Linked DNA regions of Danio rerio. The protein of the gene in region 1 interacts with the protein of each later gene in a biochemical or structural test. Links are inferred from orthologs where the notes say so. Each region holds a gene or a part of one and is shown in the gene's direction. Other genes may lie near its edges.

What was found. The genes of interacting proteins can lie anywhere in the genome.
Region 2: the proteins of lrrk2 (region 1) and stub1 form a complex in vitro, tested with the Homo sapiens proteins (3 studies listed by BioGRID and IntAct, with this or other methods). The link is inferred for Danio rerio from reciprocal best matches to the Homo sapiens genes LRRK2 and STUB1.
Region 3: the proteins of lrrk2 (region 1) and nek1 interact on a protein array, tested with the Homo sapiens proteins (2 studies listed by BioGRID and IntAct, with this or other methods). The link is inferred for Danio rerio from reciprocal best matches to the Homo sapiens genes LRRK2 and NEK1.

Annotation. Positions count from the first base shown.
Region 1 is NC_133200.1:38,207,942-38,214,087, reverse strand, and holds part of lrrk2 (leucine-rich repeat serine/threonine-protein kinase 2), read left to right. Parts: intron 1-2,652; coding exon 2,653-2,738; intron 2,739-2,824; coding exon 2,825-3,012; intron 3,013-4,293; coding exon 4,294-4,448; intron 4,449-4,796; coding exon 4,797-4,943; intron 4,944-6,146. UniProt on the Homo sapiens protein: Serine/threonine-protein kinase which phosphorylates a broad range of proteins involved in multiple processes such as neuronal plasticity, innate immunity, autophagy, and vesicle trafficking.
Region 2 is NC_133199.1:43,370,505-43,377,212, forward strand, and holds the start of stub1 (E3 ubiquitin-protein ligase CHIP), read left to right. Parts: upstream 1-2,809; 5' UTR 2,810-3,055; intron 3,056-6,011; 5' UTR 6,012-6,109; coding exon 6,110-6,232; intron 6,233-6,708. UniProt on the Homo sapiens protein: E3 ubiquitin-protein ligase which targets misfolded chaperone substrates towards proteasomal degradation.
Region 3 is NC_133195.1:26,280,914-26,287,710, forward strand, and holds the start of nek1 (serine/threonine-protein kinase Nek1), read left to right. Parts: upstream 1-2,898; 5' UTR 2,899-2,948; intron 2,949-5,282; 5' UTR 5,283-5,305; coding exon 5,306-5,422; intron 5,423-5,570; coding exon 5,571-5,667; intron 5,668-6,797. Other genes in the region: uncharacterized protein si:ch211-191d2.2, read left to right, coding at 1-219. UniProt on the Homo sapiens protein: Phosphorylates serines and threonines, but also appears to possess tyrosine kinase activity. Involved in DNA damage checkpoint control and for proper DNA damage repair.

The DNA of each region.
Region 1 (6,146 bases):
ATCTGTTATATCGGTATCGACTGATAAATGCTTATTTTAGTAGTAATATTACCTGTCATATCGGTATTGGCTTAATGCTTATTTTAGTAGTAATATTATCTGTCATCAGTATCGGCTGATAAATGCTTATTTTTAGTAGTAATATTACCTGTCATATCGGTATTGGCTTAATGCTTATTTTAGTAGTAATATTATCTGTCATCAGTATCGGCTGATAAATGCTTATTTTTAGTAGTAATATTACCTGTCATATCAGTATCGGCTGATTAAATGCTTATTTTTAGTAGTAATATTATCTGTTATATCGGCATGGCTGATGAATGCTTATTTTTAGTAGTAATATTACCAGTCATATTGGTATCGGCTGAAAAATGCTTCATTTTAATAGTGATATTCTGTCATATCGGTATCGGCTGATGAATGCTTATTTTTAGTAGTAATATTACCAGTCATATCGGTATCGGCTGATAAATGCTTATTTTTAGTAGTAATATTATCTGTTATATCGGTATCGGCTGATAAATGCTTATTTTAGTAGTAATATTACCAGTCATATTGGTATCGGCTGAAAAATGCTTCATTTTAATAGTGATATTCTGTCATATCGGTATCGGCTGATGAATGCTTATTTTTAGTAGTAATATTACCAGTCATATCGGTATCGGCTGATAAATGCTTATTTTTAGTAGTAATATTATCTGTTATATCGGTATCGACTGATAAATGCTTATTTTAGTAGTAATATTACCTGTCATATCGGTATCGGCTAATAAATGTTTATTTTTAGTTGTAATATTACCAGTCATATCGGTATCGGCTGATAAATGCTTATTTTTAGTAGTAATATTATCTGTTATATCGGTATCGACTGATAAATGCTTATTTTAGTAGTAATATTACCTGTCATATCGGTATTGGCTTAATGCTTATTTTAGTAGTAATATTATCTGTCATCAGTATCGGCTGATAAATGCTTATTTTTAGTAGTAATATTACCTGTCATATCAGTATCGGCTGATTAAATGCTTTTAGTAGTAATATTATCTGTTATATCGGCATGGCTGATGAATGCTTATTTTTAGTAGTAATATTACCAGTCATATTGGTATCGGCTGAAAAATGCTTCATTTTAATAGTGATATTCTGTCATATCGGTATCGGCTGATAAATGCTTATTTTTAGTAGTAATATTACCTGTCATATCAGTATCGGCTGATTAAATGCTTATTTTTAGTAGTAATATTATCTGTTATATCGGCATGGCTGATGAATGCTTATTTTTAGTAGTAATATTACCAGTCATATTGGTATCGGCTGAAAAATGCTTCATTTTAATAGTGATATTCTGTCATATCGGTATCGGCTGATGAATGCTTATTTTTAGTAGTAATATTACCAGTCATATCGGTATCGGCTGATAAATGCTTATTTTTAGTAGTAATATTATCTGTTATATCGGTATCGGCTGATAAATGCTTATTTTAGTAGTAATATTACCAGTCATATTGGTATCGGCTGAAAAATGCTTCATTTTAATAGTGATATTCTGTCATATCGGTATCGGCTGATGAATGCTTATTTTTAGTAGTAATATTACCAGTCATATCGGTATCGGCTGATAAATGCTTATTTTTAGTAGTAATATTATCTGTTATATCGGTATCGACTGATAAATGCTTATTTTAGTAGTAATATTACCTGTCATATCGGTATCGGCTAATAAATGTTTATTTTTAGTTGTAATATTACCAGTCATATCGGTATCGGCTGATAAATGCTTATTTTTAGTAGTAATATTATCTGTTATATCGGTATCGACTGATAAATGCTTATTTTAGTAGTAATATTACCTGTCATATCGGTATTGGCTTAATGCTTATTTTAGTAGTAATATTATCTGTCATCAGTATCGGCTGATAAATGCTTATTTTTAGTAGTAATATTACCTGTCATATCAGTATCGGCTGATTAAATGCTTTTAGTAGTAATATTATCTGTTATATCGGCATGGCTGATGAATGCTTATTTTTAGTAGTAATATTACCAGTCATATTGGTATCGGCTGAAAAATGCTTCATTTTAATAGTGATATTCTGTCATATCGGTATCGGCTGATAAATGCTTATTTTTAGTAGTAATATTACCTGTCATATCAGTATCGGCTGATTAAATGCTTATTTTTAGTAGTAATATTATCTGTTATATCGGTATCGGCTGATAAATGCTTATTTTTAGTAGTAATATTACCAGTCATATCAGTATCGGCTGATAAATGCTTATTTTTAGTAGTAATATTACCAGTCATATCGGTATTGGCTGATAAATGCTTATTTTTAGTAGTAATATTATCTGTTATATCGGTATCAACTGATAAATGCTTATTTTAGTAGTAATATTACCTGTCATATCGGTATTGGCTTAATGCTTATTTTAGTAGTAATATTATCTGTCATCAGTATCGGTTGATGAATGCTTATTTTTAGTAGTAATATTACCTGTCATATCAGTATCGGCTGATAAATGCTTATTTTTAGTAGTAATATTACCAGTCGTATCAGCTGATGAATGCTTATTTTTAGTAGTAATGCTATGCTACATTTCCTTTTTAAGAGACTGAAAAATATTAACAGACCCTCTGTGACTTATCTCCAGGTGTCTTGCTGCACTTTGATCCAGTTCTTCAGCTGAAGGATCTGTACTTCATTGACCTACAGTGGTTTTGTAGGATCATCTCACAGGTTATACATGCTAAAACACATCTAGCTCCTCTGTTCAACAACTGCGAAAGATCTGTAACATCTTTTTTCGTTGTGTTAACTGACAGACGCTGTCTCTGAAAAGCAGCGGTCCATGGGACAGCACGAAAGGAGTGGTGCAGCGCTCCACCGTGGAGAAATTTGTGGAGAAAAGCCGCTGTTTCCCAAAGGATCACATGATTCAATACTTCAAACTGTTGGAGAAGTTTCAGATAGCCCTGCCATTTGACCATGACCAGCTACTCATTCCTAGCAGGTAATGCTTTTTGTATTAAAGGGGTCATGAACATAGAAACCCAAATTCCCCTGATCTTTTAACATTAGGAGCTTATACTACTATAAAAACATCTTAAAAGTTTTAAAGCTCAACTTTGTGGTTGCTCTAAAATGAGCTTATATTAAAGGCAGTCTGCTAAAACAACAGGTTCTGGAATGTTCTACTCTATGATGTAATAGGTTGGATAAACCCCACCTCCACTGAAGATTGACATCTACTTTTTTTCACTGTTTGTATGGCTCTGGTAATAAGCAGAACTGTAAGCCAATCAGAACAGTGGGTGTTTACTTCTGAGTCTACAATCTGCCACGCCCATTCAAACAGGATTTTGATTGAGGTCAAAAACAGGACAGAAAATGGACAATTATAATATATAACTGCACATTTATAATGTTATAATTTTACACTTAATATTATAAGTGTAATGCTGCGTTCATACCAGACGCAGAACGCGCGTCAAGCGCGAGTGATACATCTTAAGTCGATGCTAACACGCGTATAGACATCCTGTGGCGCGCAACGCGAATGACGCAAATTGCATGAATGGCGCAGTGGGAATAGCGTGATATGCGCGAATGGCGCGGGGCGAATTGAGCGTTTGCGCATGTTATGCGCTTAACGCGCGTTTCGCGCAAATCAATCGAGTTCGAAAATCTGAACTTCAGCGGACATTCGCGCCGCGTTAACCAATCAGAAGCTTGCTCTTGTGGGGGCGTGATTGTGACGTAGAACCTGTTGATGGTGTCCTGGGTGAAATCCTCCAGGCGACACCGACAAGTCATCAAACTGGGCTTGGCTCAGTCAGAAGCACCGTTGAAAGACTCCGTGATCCAGGTTCAGTTTCTGGAGGAGTTTTTGAGCTCACAGAGCTGGATGCACCTCTGAAAGCATGTAGTGGACTCAGACACTGTCCTAAACGTATTGACGCTGTTTTCAGCCTTCATAAAGTACATAAACAATGTTTTTTTTTTTCTTCATAAAATCCATGTTAGCCATTTTAGCAACGACGCTACAGTCACTGGGCAGACAGAAGCCCTGCCCATCACGCGAATCCGCGTCTGTTCTGAAGGGAATTTGACGCGCGAATGAAGCGAGTGACTTTAAATGTTCACGCGGCAATTTACGTGCGAATACCGCGATTTATCCGCGGGTTCCGCGTCTGGTGTGAACACAGCATAACAGTTGAACAGTACAAAAATGTAAGTCATGATCCCTTTAAATTGAACACATGTGCGCTAATATTGTTGTTTTTCTTCACAGTCTGTCAGACCACAGGCCAGTGATTGAGCTTCCTCACTGTGAGAATTCAGAAGTGATCATTCGACTATATGAGATGCCATATTTTCCGATGGGCTACTGGCCCAGACAGATCAGCCGTCTGCTGGAAGTGTCTGCATTCCTGCTCTATGGCAGAGGTAATACAACACAAATGCTGGAAATCACCATAAAGTTTCCTATAACATTGAACTACCCATTCCAAAGTTATGCACACATTAAAGGTGACATTGCAAATGAGCTGCTGTTTTTCAGAAGCGTAAAAAAAAGGTAACCATAATAACTCGTCTTTTCAAACCTACATTGATCTGACTGCATATGTGAAAGTAGACTTACCAAAACAAGGATATTGGTTGTCATTTTTTATGTTTTGTAGGTTGTTAGTTGCTCCGAGAACAAAATTAAAGCACTTAAAGCCTGGAAAATTAAATAAGAATTAAGATTTGTAACGTGTTTTTTTTTTTTTTTTTTTTTTTTTTTCTCTATAGAAAAAGCATTAAAACCAAACCGGATCTACTGGAGGAAGGGCATCTATTTGAGCTGGTCTGCTGAAGCTTACTGTCTGGTTGAGGCTTTGACTTTAGAAGAAAACCCAGCTAGTTTCATCAAGATCACCGTTCCATGCTCTCGCAAAGGTAAAAGAGAAACTTGTTTTGCAGTGTTTGGACTATCTTAAACACTTTGGTTATTGCAATGATGGCTACAATTTTAAAAGTTGTGGTTGTGATGGTAATGATAGGATGCAAAAATGATGGCTATGGTTTTTATGAAGAGTTGAGCTGTTGATGATCATTGAATGTCATGGCAACAATAATACTGATGTTGTGGTCATTAATGATGGAGATGGTGGGGGTTGTGATGCATTTGATTCATTGATAGTAATGAGAAATGTTTTGGTAATGATTGAGATGGTGATGATAGTGATTAGTTTAATTCATAGATGGTGATAATTGCTGTTTTGGTAATGTTGCATATAATAGTGATACATTTTATCAATTGATAGTAATGCTTATTGTGGTTGCGGTAATGATAGATATGTGTGGGGATGGTGATGCATTAGATTCACTGATATTAATGCTTGTTGTGGTAATGATAGTGATGTATTTGATTCATTGATATAAATAATGGTTGTTTTGGTAATGATGGTGATAATAGTGATTCATTTAATTCATTGATAGTAATGCTTATTGTGGTTGCGGTAATGATGGAGATGCTGATGATAGCGATTCATTAATGGTAATGATGATTACTTTTTTGGTGGTGATAGTGATGCATTTGATTCATTGATAGTAATGACGATTGTTATTGAGGTAATGGAGTTGGGGGGAGTAGGGTTTGTAGTGGTAATGATGTAGAAGATGTTGGTAGTAATGCATTTTATTAATTGATAGTAATATTATTGGAGTTGTGGTAATGATATTCATGGTGTTGAACTGGATATAGTAATGCATTTTAATCGTTGATGGTAATATGATTTGGGTTGCGGAAATGATAGAGATGGTGGTGATAGTGGTGCGTTTCAGTCATTGATAGAAATATGATTGTTGCGGTAATGAAAGAGATGGTCGATAGTGATGCATTTTAATTAATTGATAGTAATAAGATTAGAGTTGTGGTAATGATATACATGGTGGTGAAAGTATGATAGTGATTCTTTTGATTCATTGATGGTAATGATGATTGGGGTTGTGGTAATGCTATACATGTTGGTGAACTTATGATAGTGATGCATTTTATTCATTGATAGTTATGTGATTTAGGGTTGTGGTAAAGATCGGGATGCTGCTTGATAGGGATGCATTTGAATCACTGATAGTAATGATGATAGGGCTTGTGGC
Region 2 (6,708 bases), on another chromosome or scaffold:
GACGAAATCTGAACAAGCGTGTTCTTGAAGTGTTGCTTCAGATTTATTATGTACATGATCTTTTATAATGCCGTTTTGATTTCATGTCCTCCTTATTAAAGTGCATTAAATGGTTTTATGAATTGAAGTGGTGTTTGTTGTGAATGGGGGCTCTTGCTGTTGTGAAAGGTGTGTCATTTACCTGAATCTGTTTGGTATTAATATAGAAATGACATATTGCAACATGAGTTTGATTCCATCTCGAGGATGGAGGAAAGTCCTTACCCCTGGTGGAGGAGTTCAAGTATCTCAGGGTTTTGTTCAGGAGTGAGGGAAGGATGGAGTGTGAGATTGACAGGAGGATTGGTGCAGCTGTAATGCGGTCAATGTGTTGGCCGGTTGTGGTGAAGAAGGAGCTGAGCCAAAAGGCAAAGCTCTCGATTTACCGATGAATCTACAATCCTGCTCTCAGCTATGGTCATGAGCTTTGGGTGATGACTGAAAGAACAAGATCTTGGATACAAGTGGCCGAAATGAGTCTTCTTCACAGGGTGGCAGGGCGCATCCTCATAGACGGGGTGAGGAGCTCGGAGTAGAGCCGCTGCTCTTCCACATCCAGAGAAGTCGGCTGAGGTGGCTCGGGCACCTGTTTCGGATGCCTACCTAGAGAGGTGTTCCAGGCATGTCCCACGGGGAGGAGACCTTGGGGGACACGCTGGAGGAACTATGTGTCTCTGCTGGGCTGAGAGTGCCTCAGGATCCTCCGGTGGAGCTGGAGGAAGTGTCTGGGGTTCTGTCCTAAGACTGCTGACCCTGAAAAAGCGAATGAAAATTAATAAATGAATTTAATTGCATTTAGAAAAAATTCACATGTTTTTTTTTTTTGCACCTACAATATGATGCAAAAAACGAACTTTTTTTTATTCTTCATGAAACTAAAAACAAAATTCAGGCTGATTTTGGAAGTTTTGTGTAATTGTACATATGAGAAAGACTAAATTTCACGTTTTTCTAGGAGAATTAGAGACATTTGATGTATTTTTATATTACTGTCCATGGCTAAATTATGTAGTTACATAAAAAAAATAATGTTAAAGGAAGAAATTATGGCATTTTTTGTAATTATTAATTTAAAAATGAGCAATTAAGTCTTATGAGTTATTTAAAGGTCAAATTAAAAGGTAAAAAATAGAAATGTCATACTTAAAATCATACAAAAACTCAAAAGTACGATTAGCTTAAGTAGAAATTAAATCATTGCACAATATCTTGAACATTTTTAGTTATTAAATTAATCATCACAAAGAAACTGCAAATGTAGAGTAATTAATGATAAAACTAATGAATTATGTATTATAATTATTCACATTTGTTTACATATACTTTTCTACTTGTCGACTGTTCATGTTGTCCTCATTAAAGTGCATTATATGGTTTATGAACTGAAATGGTGTTTGGTGAATGAGGGCTCTTTTACTGTTTCTTAATGTTAATATATTATTTATCTGAATGTGTTTGGTGTTCAGCAGGAAATAACATTACAACATGAATTTGAGTACATTTATTATTATTCACATCATTTTCAGCAAACTCATTGTTTTGCACCTAAAATATGATGCAGCTATTTTGGGGGGACTTTAAAATATCTCTAAACAAAAACTGAATACAAAATTCACATTTTTACAGAAGAATTAGAGACATTTGACTTATTTTTATAATAAAGTCTATGACTAAATTATGTAATTACATGAAAAAAAAATTTAAAGAAGAAATGACGGCATTCTTCATAAATGTTAATTAAAATGAGCAATTATGGCTTACTCTGAGTTATTTAAAGGTCAAAATTATAAATAGGGTATTAAAAAAAAGAAATGTTATACCTAAATCAAAATTAGAAGTGATAAGAAAGCACATTATCTTGAACATTTTTAAAGTTTTAAAATTAATAATCACAAAAAAACTAAAATGTAGAGTAAAAATGATGATAACACTAATGAATTATATATTATCATCATAATTATTCACATTTTGATTCATGTATTTTTTCTACTTGTCTTACTTGTCGACTGTTCATGTTGTCCTCATTTAAGTGCATTATATGGTTTATGAACTGAAATGGTGTTTGGTGACTCTTTTACTGTTCTTTAATGTTAATATATTATTTTTCTGAATGTGTTTGGTGTTCAGCAAGAAATTATATTGCAATCTGAATTTGAGTATGTTTATTATTAAATTATTCACATCATTTTAGCAAACTCATTGTTTTGCACCTAAAATATGATGCAGCTTTTTAGGGTGACTCTAAAATGTCTCTAAACAAAAATTAAATACAAAATGCACATTTTTACAGGAGAATTAAAGACATTTGATGTATTTTTATATTAAATTATATAGCTAAATTCTATAACTACATGAAAAAAAATATTTAAAGAAGAAATTAAGACTTTTTTTGTAATTCTTAATAAAAAATGAGCAATTATGGCTTACTCTGTTACTTAAAGGTCAAAATTATAAATAAGGTATTAAAGTCATAAGAATTAAAAGTCATTAGAAAGCTCAAAATTATATGCTGAAGTAGAAATTAAGTCAGTTATTTATATTTTTATTACATGCTTTTCTAGAACACTTTTTAAAATGTGTAACCGGAAAAAAACGTGTAAAATGTAGAATAAATAATGATAATAATCAAGCATTATTATTATAACTGTTTTCATATTTATTTATATATTTTATCTAATTATTATTATTATGAAATTAAACTCCTGCACGTCGCCGACAGGTGGCGTTATTACGTTGGCAACGAGCTTCCGATCGTCACCTCCGGCGACGTCACAGTGACGGCAGAGTCAAAACAACCGAAACATGATGCTAGCGTCTCACACCCGCGGGTAAAATGTCGTGTTTTTGAGGATCGCCGATGAAAACGTCGGACATTTGTCATCTTAATGTCATGATCGAGTCGGAATATGAGTTTGGCCGCGTTTCATTCGCTATCAGGGATCCAAAAGTGATCATCAAAGCACCAGTGTCGCTACCGGTTTGCTAACGACAGGCGTCAGTCCAGCAGTCAAACCCGGTACGCCTCAAATAATCCATATTTCATATTCAAACCATCTGATTTAATCTCTAAGCGTGTTTATTCTCAGCGCTGACCTGGTTGTTAGCTTGTAAAGTGTGTGTGAATGTGCTTATGTGTCAGGCACAGGAGTTTAATTTCTGATCGACGTGAAATTACATTTACTCGTTGGTAGTGCTTAATTTTAGTGATTAACTGTTGGATTGTGTGTGTTTTAAGTTCACAGAGCTGCATAAAGAGTCATGAATGATTTCACACAACTGTCAGTGTCCAGATGTGTGTTACTGTTGTCCAGATGTGTGTGTGTGTGTGTGTGATGTACATTAAACAATTCATTTTAATCATTTCTACTATATGAACAGCAGCTCTACAAAAGGTGCACGTTAATACATTTCAATCAAAATCAGAAAAATGTAGAGTATACACTCACCGACAGGAGCTTAATGCATTTAGGCATGTAGACATGGTCAAGACGATCTGCTGCAGGTCAAACCGAGCATCAGAATGAGGAAGTAAGGGGATTTGAGTGACTTTGAACGTGGCATGGATGTTGATAACAGACATGCTGGTCTAAGTATTTCAGAAACTGCTGATCTACTGGGATTTTCACGCACAACCATTTCTAGGGTTTACAGAGAATTCTCCGACAAAGTGGAAATATCCAGTGAGCGGCAGTTCTGTGAGCACAAATGCCTTGTTGATGCCAGAGGTCAGAGGAGAATGGCCAGACTGGTTCCAGCTGATAGAAAGGCAACAGAAACTCAAATAAGCACTCGTTACAACCAAGGTCTGCAGAAGAGCATCTCTGAACACACAACACGTCCAACCTTGAGGCGGATGGGCTACAGCAGCAGAAGAGCACACCGGGTGCCGCTCCTGTCAGCTAAGAACAGGAAACTGAGGCTACAATTCACACAGACTCACCAAAACTGGACAATAGAAGATTGGAGAAACGTTGCCTGCTCTGATGAGTCTCCATTTCTGCTGACACATTCAGATGCTCGGGTCAGAATTTGACGTCAACAGCATAAAAGCATGAATCCATCCTTCCTTGTGTCAGCGGTTTAAGCTGGTGGTGGTGGTGTATTGGTGTGGGGGAGATTTTTTTAGCACACTTTGGGTCCATTAGTACCAATTGAGGGTCGTGCAAGTTTTTGCAAGATACTTGTATTCAGCATTTAAAGGCTTAATTATGTTAACTAGGCAAGTCATTGTATAATGATGGTTTGTTCTGTAGCTAATTGAAAAATATCTTGATTTCTGTAGCGCTTTTACAATGCAGATTGTGTTAAAGCAGCTTAACATAGAAGATTATAGTGATATAGTGATAGTGTAAACTGTCAGTCCAGTTTTCAGAGTTGGAGTTCAGTTTAGATTAGTTCAGTGTGGTTTAATATTCAATACTGAGAGTTCAAACACTGAAGAGCAAATCCATCGATGCGCAGCTCCACAATTCCCAAACCAAGCAAGCCAGTGGCAACAGCGAAGGAACAATCTTCACCAATTGACGTGATTGAAGTGAAGGAAAAAACCTGGAGAGAAACCGGCTCTGTTGGGCACGACCATTTCTCCTCTGACCAAACTGCAGAAAAGCAGTCTAGGCGCCGGAGGCTGGAGAACGCTGGATGTCCATCGTGGAGAAGATGCAAGTGTGAGTAGGTCACCGGCGTGTGTTCAGGCTGGCCCACTTGATAAATGTGAGGACTTGTTTGTCACTGGGGTGATTCAGGCATCAGTCTTATGCTCTCAGCTCCTCCATGACAACCACAATATCTGCCAGGCCCGGATTGGCGAACCGAGAGAATTCCTGGTGGGTCGGTCCGTTTTTTGGCCGTGAGGGCCAGTGTCCCTAGCTGCTTGCACTCTCAGCAGTCACACTTTTTTCATTTATTTATTTATTAATTTGACCATAGCCTCACTCTTTTTTTTTGTTTTTCATTATTTTGCCGCAGCGCCGCTCTTTTTATTTATTTTTTTTCTTGCTGCTCCGTGAGCAAAATGCAGCCTGCAGGTTTACTAACGTTAATGATGATGTAACTAATCATTCGACCCCAAACAGTGGCACCTTAGTGATTATAAGAATTTGAATAATTAATATTAATGAATAATACACCTGCTCAATGAAAATCAGATGATTTACTACATTAAATCTGACAAAACTTGATCAGAAATCTAAAAGGAGAAAATGATTTAGCCATCAAAGTAATACTATGTCTTGCCGTTCACAGTGTAATCTTTATTTTTTATTCCCACTGGAATAGCGCCATTGTGGTCCAGTGGAAAGCACGTTGCGTTGCGAAACTTCCGACCCATGTTCGAATCTCACCTGAAAAATTATTATTATTATTTTTCGTTTTTATGACATAATACTGTAAGGGTTGTTGAACATTTGAATTTCTAAAGCAGCTGTTTTCTCAAAAAAGATGTGATAGTGTCATTAGAAACTGAATTGGAAATGACCTTATTTTAATGTAATCAGTCGAGGTGGGCTGGTCTGGCTTGAAACTCCAGGGCTGAAAATGAGTCCCACTCCGGCCCTGATATCTGCTCAGGATACGGCCTGGTCCAGGATTATGGAGACCTCTAGAAGTGCTCTGCGGTTGGCATCATTTCTTCACAGGTCTTGGATCACATCAATGGCGCTGCACAATCTCTAGAGGCCTCGGGATGAGTATCCCCAGGTGGAAATAGAAAATAAAGAAAATAATTAGCGTAGCTGCTGTTCATAGTGTATTTAAACAAGAGATATTAAAAATCAATGCAAAAATCAAGAGCTATAAATGAAAATAGCACTTATATAAACATAAAAACAAACACGCAAAGCATATCATTGTTTCTAACAAACTGTTTTGAATGTATATTCTTATGGTGGCTAATAAAATTGACCCCATAAGAATATTGTTATGATTTTGCACCTGCATTACTGTGGCTCATATTTTCCTTGTGTGTTTCTGAGAGGTTTGCAGGTAACTGGCTCCCCGGGACCGGCCGGTGCTCACCGAAGAGACGGGGAACAGGATTGGGAAGCAGGGGGGAGCGGCCACCGCAGAGCCCATGGAGAAGATGGCGAGCAGCCCAGAGAAAAGCTCATCCGCACAGGAGCTGAAGGAGCAGGGAAACCGCCTGTTCCTCAGCCGCAAGTACCAGGAGGCCGTCACCTGCTACAGCAAAGCCATCGTGAGTGAGGGGTGCTGGGAACACACAGAGTAAATATGTGTGTCAGTTTCAACAGCGGGGGGTTTAGGAGAAATTCAGACTCACAGAAAGTTCAGAATTATTAAACCTTCTGGTAAATAGTTTTTCCCCAATTTCTGTTTAAAGGACACATTTCTAAACATAATATTTATAATAACTCCTTTCTAATAACTGATTTATTTTCTCTTTGCCATGATGACAGCACATAATATTAGACTAGATATTCTTGAAGACACTAGTATTCAGCTTAAAGTGACATTTAAAGGCTTTACTAGGTTAATTAGGGTGAAGTTAGGGTCATTAGGCAAGTCATAATATAACAGTGGTTTGTTCTGGAGACAATCCAAACTAACATTGCATAGGGGGGCTAATAATATTGACTATTAAATGGTTTAAAACAATTATTAAATGCTTTTATTCTAGCCAAAATAAAACAAATAAAATACTGTGAAAAATTC
Region 3 (6,797 bases), on another chromosome or scaffold:
AATAAAACAAGCATCTTAAAAAACCACATGAGGACTCACACTGGAGATAGACCCTATAAGTGTTCACACTGCGACAAGACGTTTGCGCGACTTGATGTGATGAAGACCCACGAGAGGGTTCATACTGGAGAGAAACCGTACCGCTGCTCCATCTGCGGAGAGAGGTTTGCGTATTTAGGAAGTTTTCTGAGCCACCAGAAGAAACATGGAGGAGAATGAGTGGATGAGCAGATCAGCGTATGATGGAGAATTGAGCACTGAGTGTTTCTGGCTGCATTTCTCAACCCTAGTCCTCACTCTCCACCGCTCTGCCTATTTTGATCCTTTGAAAAAAAGACAGCATTTACTGCTATAGTACGGGTAAAAGCAGGCCTTAAATTGTGCCGGTACACTCCGGATCCAGCACCTCTGAAATTTGATCTGGCACCTCATTTTAACGATCCTCCTTCTCAACCGCCCTACTCCCCTGTTCACTGTTACTATAGTCCCGACTCCCCAACCATCTTCACTTTTATCCGCGACAACCCTCCGCTTTTCACTTCCGTTCTTCGTCCATGACACCTCTCCGCCAACGCCCCCCCTGCTCTCCACTTTCGTGCTCGACACTTTTTCAGTTTAGTTCACCTTTATTTGTATAGCGCTTTTACTATGTAGATTGTGTCAAAGCAGCTTCACATAGAAGATCATAGTAAATTAAAACCGTGTCAGTCCAGTTTTCAGTGTTAAGGGGGCTGTCACACTAGCACTTTAGGTCCGCACCCAGGTTCGTTTGACTGTCTGTCTGTCTGTCTCAGTCACTTTCGTACTTTAGTGACAAGCGGGGCTGAGCCACGGCAAACACAGTGATACACAGTGCTGTCTGATTTTCTCCTCCAAAAACAGCTTCTGGACTGTGTGGTGTTCTGAATGTTTATAATATTTTTGTGGCAGATGTAAAACATATGCTGGATAAGTAAAACAAATGCTGGATAAGTTGTCGGTTCATTTCGCTGTGGCCATCCCTTATGAATAAAGGGACTAAACTGAAGAAAAATCAATGAATGTTTATTACAGTGGTGGTTCAATCTGTTTGACATGGTCATTTGAGCAGCCAGTAAATACACATCTATTCATCCACTATCAAAGTATTGTAAAGTGTGATATTTTGCCATGGTAAAGTAAATAAAATAAAAGTGTTGCCTCGTTCAAATAAAGATTTTAAAATGAAAACTAAGCGTCATTAGTCAAACAATTATATGTTCAATGATTATGAGCCTCCTGTGTGTGATTTGCATAAACAGCGGTTATATATATTAACAGCCTTTTCATTTAATTTATTTTCTCTTAAATTTGCAAGTTATGATAAGGGCTACTTTCAGCCTTAAAAAGATATATTGTGCATATAAGATGGTGAATTTGAGAATGTCCTTTATTGACTACGTAAGCTGAGGTTTGGTGCATGTGTCGCTGTTTAAGTGGAGATTTTCAGCTCTGGAGAAAAATAACTGACTCAGAAAACGGCGGGTAAACTTTCAAATTTTGTATCAACATTCATCCAAGTGGACCTGTTCAGCTCTTACTTGGTAATTTCAAATATCAAATATTTTACATACTAATCAGTTAAGTATAAAAGGTATGAAAATTATAGACAATAAATTTAATTACTTGCAATAAAAAGTTATGCAGAACCACATTTTTGCCTAAATGCAAATTTTTTTTTAATTCTTTTTTTAAACAGATTGAGTGGAAAAAAGAATGGAACTTACCTAGTAAATACTGTCTCACCATTAAAATTAAATAAGCAACAAACTAATACATTTAATTTATCCAGTGAAAAGTTGTTACATTTTTTTTTAGAGACATAGAATCTATGTGCACTTTTTGTAAATTAGAGGAGGAATCGATAAAACACCAGTTTTTTTAATGCACATATACCCAAATGTTTTGGTTTAATGTTGAATATCTTGTATTTAAACTTACAAAAATAAAAAATCAGTTTTCTTGTAAAGATTTTTTTTTTTGATATACAATAATAATAACAAAACTTTTTAGCAAACTTAGTTTTTTAATTTAATGATAATATATGGGAAGTATTATGTACACAAACAAAAATGGCCCAATGATAAGCTTAATATTTATTTGGTTAAAATTGATCTTAAGCATTATATCGAAACCCTAAAAGACACAAAAAATAAAAAAGCTATAAGGATGTATGCAGTTTTGAAATCATTTTCTTAGCAATTTTTTTGTCATTTATATATCCCCTGTAATTTTATTTATTTATTTTTCTACTGATTTATTCTTTAGATGTAAAAAAGTGTAAGCATTGTATTCTTCATTTTTTGTATGCTGTTGTTCTTGTTATGCAATAATAAAATATTAATAATAGTAATAATAATAATAATAGAGAACATTCATTCTATGTAATCAGTGAGAAATATGCACTGTTCACAAAATCAAGTTGATACAATTATAATAATTATTATTATTTTTATTATTTTTAAAAATTATTTTTAATGATAAATAATAAGATAAACACCATAAACATGATACTTTTTTATAAGAAATGTACAAAACACGTGCAATGCTTGTAAACATTACAAGTGCTGTGCACCAGAATTCATTAATCCTTTTGTGGGGTCATTTTCAAAAGGCTCTTCAGTTAAGGACCATGAAAGCGGATAGTGACCAAAGGCTCCATGACCGTGTACCAACCGGTGACGGTTGCTAGGGGGGTATTTTGCGCCAAACATTGACAGACAAACTTGCCAGCTGTATGTTTTGACTGACATATTTTTCAACCTATCAGCCGTAACTCAAATTGAGCGTAGACCAATCGAATCACTCCTAGCAGTAAGCGTGTGCCGTCTGCACACATGAGACCGCCCACAAAAGAAAAAAATCTTCATTTGAGCTGCTGTGATGCTGCCAGTGCTCGTTGACTATTCGGAATATATAAGATATACAAGGTAAGAACTAAATTTGCTGAACAAATTGTGTGTTTCTTCAAAAATATGTGGCGGAGTGTAACTTTAAAGTCCATGTCAGCGTCGTTCCGCCCTGTCAATGAAACTGACCATTTCGTTTTCATTAGCACGCTTTTAGTATCGTGTTATTGTCATTAGTTTGAACAGCGACCCTTTCAAGGCCCCGCTTCACTAGACACCAGCTGCTGCTTTACACACTTTGCATTGTAACGTTAATGTGCTGCTGCTTTTATCCACACAGCATAAAATTGCATAACAAATCTAGTTTGTTAATAACTTATTGTTAATGGTTGACAGTGCAAGTCAGCTCCTATTTTGAGTAAGTCTCTGTGTTTTGCTTTGTTCTTTACAGCTTGCAAGTTTTAGTTTCCAGCCCGCTTTGTGCTTTTGTTATTATTATTGGGCGACAGTTTTCATCATGTATTTAACCTAATTTGTGTTATCTTGAGGTGTGTCTCTATCAGTCGTGTTTTTCTTTTATATTCTCTCTTTGTACCCCTTTCTTAGTCCCTTTAAAGGGTGGTGGGTAATTCCTCCTGACATGTCATATTTAATTCATAAGCCTTCTTTCACTGTCTGGCTTTTTGCTGCTTATTTTTTGCTTTCAAGCAAGGCTGCTACTTTTGGGCATGATATTTTTAGTGTTTGCTTTCCAATATTTTGTCTAAAATGCCTGTCCTCCTGAGAATTCACCTTGGCCATCTGGCAGTTGTAGTCATTCCCAGCATGCAGCTGGATTCTGTATGGAATAAATATCAACATTTCACTCATCAGGAGGTGCTCCGCTTGAGTTGGTTTAATAATTCCTGCTGACACTGTGAATGAATCACAGCTGAATGTGACTTTAATATGCCACACCTCTATCTATCTATCTATCTATCTATCTATCCATCCATCCATCCATCCATCCATCCATCCATCCATCCATCCATCCATCCATCCATCCATCCATCCATCCATCCATCCATCCGTCTATCTATCTATCCGTCTATCTATCTGTCTATCTATCTATCGATCTATCTATCTATCTATCGATCTATTTATCTATCTATCTATCTATCTATCTATCTATCTATCTATCTATCTATCTATCTATCTATCTATCTATCTATCTATCTATCTATCTATCTATCTATCTAACTAACTAACTAGGTGCCTTAGTTTTATTAATCCTGTGAGTGGCAGATTCTGGAGATGCTTGAAAAATTCCTCAGAGATTTTACTTCATATGTGCCACACCATTTACTTGGCCTGTTAATACTAGGCAGTAGGCTTGCACAATATATAATTTCAGCATCGATATGACAATGCACACATTTGCAAAAGTATCATCTCAGAATGTGCAATGTTGAGTTGGCATTATATCACGAGCCACAGTTCAGAGCACATTAGGTTTTTGGAGTCACTGCAGTTTTACCATAGAGTGAGCGTTTGTCATGTGTGTGTTTTTAAAGTCCTGTGACTGTGAGCATTTCAAGAAAGTGTAAAGTATTAAAGCACAAGAAAATGTGACACTTTGGAATTTTAATAAAGATTCAAATTCAATTATTGGCACAATGAAGAGTGCAAGATGTTTGTTTTTTAGATTTGATTATTCAATTTTTGCACCTGAATAGAGTTATACTTTCCTAGAAAAGCATTAAGCTTTGTTTATTTCAGGTTTATCTTTGTCCTGTAATGTTTATACATGCTTGTAACATGTTTTATTTTGTTCACTTCCCTACTGAGTCATCCCGATTAGTCTAAATTATTCTTTTCAAATAGACAAGGTGGATCCATTTTTTCATGTTCTAAATGCTGAAATCTGGCCTTACTATTAAATGTCACAAAAGTAATTGAGACTTATCAGACTATTTAACCTTTTTTCCATTCTTTTATTGTCCAAATTTGGTGAGCCAGAGTGGATTGTGTATGACTTTGGCTGTGAGGAGTGGGATTTAGTGTGCTGTTCTTCTGCTGTAGCTCATCTGATTTATGGTTGGATTTGTACTCTTCTGCAGAGTCCATCGTAAACAGTGTTTTGTTTTTCTTTCTTGATTTAATTAAATCATTAATAGATTCTCTCTGCTTAACCCAGTCTGGTAATTCCGCTCTGACCTCTGACATTTTCTTTCATAAAATTGCCACTTACTGATTATTTTTAGCTTTACTTTACTTTCCGTTTCCGTTTTACTATCCGTGTTCACACTAGATCTGATTGTGTGTAAAAATTCAAGTAGATCTTCAGTTTCACCAGCCTGTGCAGCATCATTAACAATCCCACGTTTAAAGTAATTCAAATCTCCTTTTTATCATGTGCTATTCTTTCCGTTATAGTATGAGAAGTCATTTGCACAGACATGGATAAATATGAGAGGTTAAAGAAGATTGGGGAGGGATCCTTTGGGAAAGCTATCTTGGTCAAGTCAAGGACAGATGGCCGACAATATGTTATCAAGGAGATTGGTATCTCCAGGGTGAGTCCATCACTTTCATCTTTTAGACATCTCTCAGAAATGCTAATAGGTATTTTATTCATTTAAGATTTCAGCCAGACAAAATGTGATATGCTGAGGGTGCTATCTAAATGTATACATATTCATGCACTGTTTTTTTTTTCATCAGATGTCGAACAAGGAACGACAGGAATCACGTAAAGAGGTGGCAGTTCTGGCTAACATGAGCCATCCAAACATTGTCCAATACAAGGAATCCTTTGAAGGTAAAGCCTTTTAATACACTAAGACATCCATATTAAGAAACTGGTATTAAATTATTTTTCATTGCATGCAGCCATATTAAGTCAATATGCATGACAAGAGGAATGAGCATTCTGTGTTTGGGTTTTAGTTGACTGTTTTTGATTAATCTAAGAACATTAGTTCCGGCACAAACTATAGCCAGTGCATTTCTGTTTTAAAGGCTCGTGTCAGATTGATAGATTGGGGTGGCCGGCAGAATCTCGTGGAGCTCAAAGCTCTTGAATTAAATTACAGGGAGGATGTTGTTGTGCTAATGATAGTTTTCTTTATGGAGCTGTGCAGTATCTCTTGACATCCGGATGGCTGGCTAATTAATGACATAAATCTGTGGCAGTGTATAAATGTTAATGCTATAAACAATGGAGAGCAATATGTTTATTTTATTACATTGTAAAATCTGATTGTTAGAGGTCTACATTGGTTTGTTGAAAACACTCTTAAAAATGATCAAATTATGAAAGCATTACATATATGAAATATACAGCCAAGCCCGAAATTATTCATACCCCTGGAAAATTCTGTCTATTGTTTTTTTTGACCGAAAATGATGCCAGCTTCTCCCAAAAATTATATTTCTTAGCTTTTTATTTAAATTTGAACAAAAACAAAATTTGCCAGAGGTAGAAATAATTTTAGGCTTGACAGTATATAGAGTATGGAGAGTTCTGATTCAAAAACCTCAAAGTACCATCTTTTGAAATTTTCTTCTAAAAGAGGTGTTTTTCATACACATTGTTAATCAAAGTGCTTTACATAAACAAGAATAACAGAAACATGAAAATTAAAATGATTAAAATGATTAAAAATTATTAAAAGATAAAAACTGATTAAAATGTGTTAACTGATTAGAAAAGAATGAAAAAGAAAAGAAGACATAATACTGTGCTCTGTTGGACATAGCTCAGTGCTCATTCATTAAAGGCACAGCTAAACGGATGTGTTTTAAACCTTGATTTGTATTTACCTGATGTTGGAGCACCTCTGATAATATCTGGAAGCTGATTCCCGCAGTTGGGGGCTTAGGCCGTACTCACACTAGGTACAGTTGCCTCGAACCGGGCCAAAGTACGCTTGTCCCCCCTCCCGTCTC